Mytilus edulis: one gene and its partner. The protein of the gene in region 2 interacts with the protein of the main gene of each other region in a pairwise test. Links are inferred from orthologs where the notes say so. Each region holds a gene or a part of one and is shown on either strand. Other genes may lie near its edges.

Region 1 (3,762 bases), on a different chromosome or scaffold from region 2:
TGTAGGTAAATCATGAATTTGAATGGTCAACAGAGAACAAATTTTCTTTAGTCTTTTCGGTTGAATTTGGCAGCTTTGTTCTTTGGCCACTGAACTGTATTTCCCATTAGCAGTTGGAAAAAATTTCTAACAAGTTGAAGTTTGATTTGATAAAACAAATTGCTATTCGTTCAAGTCACAGTAATAAGTTTGTTCACTCATCAAAAGAAGACATAAATAAACAAGTAGCTTTTCTACTAAAAGAAATGCACCTGAACATAATTGCCTGTTTGGTTTGAAAGATCGGAGAATTATAATATAAAGATGTGTAAATCATTCCTCATAAACATAATACATTGTACATGTAGAAAACATCTATAGATCCTAAACATAACTATATGTAGACTACCATTAGTTTGAGCAAATTTGTGTTTCAAGTAATTTATGAAAGAAAACATTACAACATGCAAAATAGGAGCCAACCACAGGATGTTCCATTTTGAGGGCACTGTTTTAGAAATTTGTATACTTTAAACAGGTGATCAAATTGTAAACACTTGAAAAGCCCTAAACCTTATTTTGAGAAATGTATTCTAACCAACCACATACAGGTAGTCATTAATAAATAACTTATATGCAACATCAAACATAAAACAAATTGTATTGTTTTACCACAAGGTTTTAATTAATATAAAGCCAAAGAATATCATTCAGTCTCTATAAATAGTTACCCAGTTTCACTCCTAAAAGGTCCTTTTGTATTTCTTTATTTTATTTTATTTTTATTCCTATTTCTACATGTCTACTGTTAAAACAATTTAGTATATTTGTTTATTTCTCCTTTGAAATTATTATGTGTAGTCCATAAGATTAAAAGTAATTCTATTTGCAGTTATAAATTATTGAAGAAATGGAATAGTTTTAAATAAATATTATCGTTATTTATCTGTACAATTTTTTTTTTTATAGAAATTTTTATTCAACGAAAGAAAATGAAAGTTTAAATTAAAAGAAAATGCCCTTTTTGTTTCTTTTTAACCATATATTAAAATAGAACATCTAAAGCAAACTCTACCTTTTTTCTCTTCAAATATCAACCACCTTCAACAGGAACCCTAACATGCGTCTCTAATTTAAAAAGTAAAGGTATGAGATACTTATATTAGAGTCTGACTTTTATTACTCCAACAAAGTCTTAAAAGATTAAATACTTAGAAACTCCAAAATGGATTTTAATTCTTCTTTATAAACCTCTTTTAAGTATAAACATTACTTTTTCTAAAGTTTTGGATAATGTTTTATATCATGATCAATTAGTAAAATATAACTCATTAGCTGCCAAATAATACAACTTGAATGAAGAAAAAAATATTCAAGTCAAATGTTTATAATAATTGGTTTATTAATTAAAGCAATGGCTTTAATTATCACCATTCACAAAAATAGTGTCTCATTTTTTTTTAACATGCCTCCAGCTATTCAATATAATGTTTATATTGCAGGGTACAAAACAAAATTGTTTTCCTTTTATTTTTGGACATGTTGGAAATCTATATAAATTCCTTCAAAAACATCTTCAAAAATAGGGATGCAATTTTGGAAAGGTACCAGTCAGTACTCCCTTTAATCACAAATGTTAAAGCTAAGTCAAACTGTTTATGATTTTGTAAAACTTTACTTTTCAGCAAAAATGACCTTGACAAGTTTTGTCAATTACTAATACATGTATGTGTTTATACAATTTAAGCATAATTACATTTACATTTACATCCTTAACTATTAAGATTATAACACAAAATTTGTTTATATAACAATAATCAGCCTTTTATATCTCTACCAGTGAGGGTGGCAGGTGCCCTTTAGATGTTTTTACAACAATGAAATGTTCAAAATGGCTGGATCCACCCCAGAGCAGGGATAGCAGTATAGGTCACTGGTGCTGTGTGCAAAAAATTAATGTCTCATGATTCCATTTCTTTGGATGACACTTTGGTGAAAAATTAAACTACATTGTAACAGTAATTTCTTTTTTATATGACAAAATTATTGGAAAACAATTGATTTTTTTACCAACAGCAAATTGGAAGCATGATTTTACTTCAAATTACAGTTTCAATTTTGGGAAAAAGTCACACAGACTAGTCACTTCTTAGTTATCTTGTCAAAAGATTAAGTAACTCAGAGAAGTAAATTATTTGGTCTATAAAAATAGACTAGTCGGTAGTCTAATAAGAATCTTCTTCCTTATAATTGAGTTTTGTTTCTAACAGTCTACAGTAAGCTTAAACTCTGTGGGCCTACCTATGGTCACATTACAAATCTAGTCCCCTTTGGTTACATACAGTATTTACAATAAAACCCAATTGATAAGGTTAAAATTATTAACAATCATTGAACAATTTGAGTCTGGGATGCAGGATGGGGCCTTAACCAGGAAAAAGGGATTTAGTCTGAAGGGGTTGTGGTAATTCAAATGTTTATCATTCAGCTTTGTTTTCAATAGCATGTCATTGAAATAGTTACTCCACGGATTAGAAAGAATAACTTGGATATCCTGTTTCCATTTAGGCAAAGAACCATTCATGATTTTCTTGTTTTAACGAAGATAACACGAAAAAATAGAATCTATTCAAAGATAACAGTTGTATATATAAAATCGTACAAATATGTGAGGGTACTTTTACAGTTTTATGTGTCATTCAAAAGAGTAAATGGTTTTAAAGAAAAATCCTTTCTCATTTCACGAAACTTACCGCTGGAAAAACTATGTCACGTGAACAGATCAATTAGACGCTTTACATTAATCTAACACCTTCGCGTCAAGCGTTTGTACGATGTATGTCAACTATTTTTTTCTAAGGGAAGCAACTATGTAAACAATCCCTTTCTTCACAGATGGCAAAATCAGAGAAGAATGTCCACGTTACAGAATACTTGAACCAAAATATAAAGACTCTATCAGATTTAAAAGATGTTCATAAAAATATAAAAGAAACTGTTGAGTCATTAGGACAACAAGTAATTAATGCCTTAAGTCATAGGAACAGTACACATGAATGAATCCATGACAAATCGCCCCACTGGCAAATCGCGAGTTTGTGAAAAAGTGTGGCGATTTGGTGTTGGGCGTTTTGCTAGTGTGGCGATTTGTCCTGCTTCCCACAGGAATGAGGATGAGCAATTTCATTTTGCTCTGTTTTTGAACTGTTGAAACATTTATGAGGGTAGTAATGGGGGTACCTTCATGACGTATATCATCGTGTAATGTGTTTTCGTACTAATAACAATTTTCACTGCTTACGGTTTTTACTGTTGAGTTTTTATTTAGGTGTTTACTCAAATTTAAAAAGCATGTCCTGTAGATTGATTTTAGGTATCTAGTTTTTTTGTCAATGATTTCTACGATTTTTTACTGTTTCCGATTACTTTGCGATTTTTGTATGTCAAAAAAACGGCGTCATATGTTTTCGTATGAAATAAAAATTGGATCAGTACACGGACAGGAAATGACTACAAAATCCGGAAATACATTTTTTCTAAAGTCGTGGTTCGGGTGATCGCTTAAATCTTAAAAAAAGTTATTAAATACTTTTCAGTACAAAAAATTACTAGTAAAAAGTGTAAGGTTGGTGTTTCGTGTGATGAAATTTTTACGGATTTTGATTAATTTCAGATTGGCACCTGGTTTGTACAAAATACATTATTTTTTCTAAAATAAAATGCAGTTTTCAAAATTTATGATTAAATATAAAAAGTTAAGACTGTTTTCATCTTCATGTATCA
Region 2 (3,762 bases):
ACCAAAAACCATCTGAAAAGTGACATTTTTCGGCATATTAGGTAGATTTTTCATATTTGAGCTTGAATCGGATCGTTTTTAATGACTAAATCTGTTAAAATCTTTCACATAAACTAAATAATTCAAATAAAATAGACATTTTAAAAGTGTTTAAAAAGTGGTCAAAATCTTTCGTCAGATGAACCTGAAATTTGAAGGCCAAAATCGGTCCTTACCGGACCTACTCCTTTATAAGATTAAAACTTATAATTATCAGAGACACATAATACTATATTATATGTCTCTGTAATTATTAATACTTTTACAAGTGCAGATTATTTCAGTTTGCTTGATTTTTTTATGTTTTTAAATTAGCATTTTAATGGGAGATAACTCTGAAATAGTGCATTTTCTGAAGGAATCTACATGAAACGTGCTAGTTTGTATTTTAACTGGAAAAAAACGCACGGTGACCCAATCTTTTCTTTTGATATCATCAAAGCATTTCCTTAAAGCTATCTTCTCGTATTTTATTTTACAATTTTAGTTATCATTCAGTTCAGCTCCTATAATCACATAATGATTTTTTTCCTGTTTAATCTGTGAAAAAAAATGTGTCATTTTGTCACAACCTGTAGCCTGAAGAAATCGTGATAAACTATCATTTTCACAATATTTTTGAATATATGTCAATATATATATACTACGTTTTGGCAAAGTATATGAACAAATTTATTCTATCATTTTTAATTTAGACTCCCATACCACCTTAACATTTTCTTACAACACTTTTTGTTTTTGGTGGGGTTCGTGTTGCTTATTCTTTAGTTTTCTATGTTGTGTCATGTGTACTATTGTTTGTCTGTTTGTCTTTTTCATTTTTAGCCGTGGAGTTGTCATTTTATTTTCGATTTATGAGTTTGATCAGAGACATATATACACATGTGTATATATGTCTCTGGTTTGATATCTTTGGTATCTTTCGTCCCTCTTTTACTCTAGTAAATATAGAAGTATCATTTGCGGTCACTTGCGTTTCATGATCGATGTAGCCTTTCGTGTGCAAGTCAAAAACTCTGTTTTTCAAAATGTGGTGACTCAGTTTTTAAAATAAATATTGTGACAAGGGAGACAAATCTACCAGCCGTTTTGGTCTATATTGTATTTTTGGTAGTTAGTTTTAAAGAAAGAGGAAATGACGTATTATTGTGGCGGGACGTCTGATTTTAGATTTGTAAACATTGGTGGAAAACTTTTACAAATGACTAAATAGTTTAACTAAAACACAGAGAATTAAACTTCGACCTCTTATAAGATATTACTTTTTAATTTAAAGATAAGCTAGACAAGAAGAAGCGTGTTGCATTAAGTGTACAGGCGACAGCCAGTAAATTTTCAGTGAGTGGCACTTTATTTTCAGATTTGGGTAGACGCAATACTCTATAGTTGAACACACAAACATACGCAAGATATGGTGAATATATAATTTTTCGAAATTAGTAAAATTCTCTTAGTTAAAAGGGATAAGAAAGAATGGCAAGAATTACCAAAAATAAAACAAGGATTTGATCTAATCCTATACAAATCCTTGATTAAAACAACTGATAGATTTATCTCCCTTGTCACAATATTTATTAAAAAAATGTAACTGCATGAATTTGTGATGAATTATTTCTTCTCTTGTTAAAACCAAATTTTGAAAAACAATAGACCACTTTCAAGTTCATCCGTCACCGGAAAAAACTGGTCAATAGTGCTCTTTACGGTTAGTTCGGCCATATTGGATAGGGGGCAGATTTTCATAATAGAGGTAAAAATGGTGTGAAAAATACGGGAAAACATCATTAAAACAGAGCTGTTGCTTGGAAACACACATAGGATTTCCCACACTTTCATACCATTTCCACCTCCTTCCAAAAAATCTGCCCCCTATCCAATATGGCCGAACTAACCGTGAAGAGCCCTATTATGCTCGCCTTTATGACGTCATTAACCAGATAGAGGGGATCGCCTGTATCCCTGCACTATTTACGTTCATCAAGCGTCTTAGTGATCGTCATTGTACAGGATAAACTAGAAATAATGGTTGTTCTGTAGGTACTTAATGACAATTCCCTAATGACAGCAGTGCTGATTTTCAATTTTGAGAATTCAATTTGCCAAATTATGAATAATTCGTACATAAATGAATATAGAATTATCCAACCACTCGCTCAACATTGGAATGGAAGTGACGACGCCCCTAAACGCACAAATGATGTTCACTAAAACCAGAGTTTTTGACGGAAATGCATCGAACTCGAAAGTTGTCAATTACTTTGTTATTGGTCAGAGCTATATTTCAATGACTATTTAATAGAGCAGAAATATCTGGAAGTCACAGACAAAATAGTATTAGTGCTATTTAAAATAACTGCTTGACATTTTTCAAACCCCTGTCTTTATTCTTATGTACAGATTCAACCCTATCATAAGAAGTAGATTAATTTTATCTTTAAAAACAGTTATCAAAGCAGTCCGAGACATATGAAATTTATCAACATATAAAATTTTGCATATTCATTCCTTACCTCAGTGTACATGTACAATGTACTGATCATGACATTTGTATATTTTATGCCCAACAAATGCACAAATGACGTTAGATAACATCACCTACAACAAAACACTTTGACGGAACAATAACAATTGGAACAAGGGCATTCACAGGAGTACCCGCACAACATCAAATCTGGTATCAGCTGTCTTCATAAAAAGTTGAATTTTCAATAACACAAAATGCTTTATTTTCAGTGCCAGTCGTTTTTTTGCCAGGAATATATTAAGTCTGTTTTAAATGTAATTTATATCGAAAAATTGCATTGAAAGCAATCTCACATTTCTTGTAGGATTTATATGAAATTTTATGATAACTTCACCATGTTTACTTTTTTATAACATTTTTTTTTATCAAGTTGTATTGAACATTATCATCATACATTGTACTTGACTTTTATACAAATTTATGCCATGTATATGTTTGCATTTTTGTATATGCCTTTCTATGGTGAGGGCCTCAGGAAAGATTAGTTTTATAGCTAACTGTGTAACCCTTAAAGTCTTAAAATAAAGTATTGTTGTTATTGTACATGTAGGTCCATAATCAGCAAAATTAATGGATATATGCAAATTGGAAATAATAAAAAAAGATTTGTTTTAGCGAATGGTATTGATAGAAGTGAAATAAAATTGAGAATGGAAATGGGGAATGTGTCAAAGAGACAACAACCCGCCCAAATAAAAAACAACAGCAGAGGGTCACCAACAGGTCTTCAATGTAGCGAGAAATTCCCGCACCCGGAGGCGTCCTTCAGCTGGCCCCTAAACAAATATATACTAGTCCAGTGATAATGAAATGTCCACATTTATATTTTGAATCTTTGTTAGAATTCAATTTAAGTTCTATTTTGTATTATTTTTGATTTTGCCATTATTGACAATGGGTTTTTGTCTGATTTCCCATTACTATAACGTGTTTTAACTTCATGAATGTTTTATTTTAAATTAATTAATTATATAAAATAGCTTTGTCTTTTTGAATAGGATCTTTATCATCTTTACGTTTAACATGGCAATGCAACAATCTCGTCAACAAGCCTCAGCACAAGCAGAAGAAACTGAAGAAACCTTTGGACCATTGCCCTTAAAGCAATTAGAGGTATGAATTATTTAGTAAAAATATTTGTAAGGGAACACTTTTTAACCTACACAGTGAACATTGTAATGTACCCTGATTACAGTTTG

The links. The genes of interacting proteins can lie anywhere in the genome.
Region 1: the proteins of DNA repair protein RAD51 homolog 1 (region 2) and SUMO-conjugating enzyme UBC9-B interact in a two-hybrid assay, tested with the Caenorhabditis elegans proteins (2 studies listed by BioGRID). The link is inferred for Mytilus edulis from reciprocal best matches to the Caenorhabditis elegans genes rad-51 and ubc-9.

What each region holds. Positions count from the first base shown.
Region 1 is NC_092352.1:32,417,557-32,421,318, forward strand, and holds the start of SUMO-conjugating enzyme UBC9-B, read right to left. Parts: upstream 2,806-3,762; 5' UTR 2,733-2,805; exon of another isoform or gene 2,642-2,732; intron 1,104-2,641; exon of another isoform or gene 1,055-1,103; intron 1-1,054. Other genes in the region: RAD50-interacting protein 1-like, read left to right, coding at 2,875-2,997. UniProt on the Caenorhabditis elegans protein: Accepts the ubiquitin-like protein smo-1 from the aos-1-uba-2 E1 complex and catalyzes its covalent attachment to other proteins with the help of an E3 ligase such as gei-17.
Region 2 is NC_092346.1:57,670,977-57,674,738, forward strand, and holds the start of DNA repair protein RAD51 homolog 1, read left to right. Parts: upstream 1-1,169; 5' UTR 1,170-1,377; intron 1,378-3,561; 5' UTR 3,562-3,586; coding exon 3,587-3,676; intron 3,677-3,762.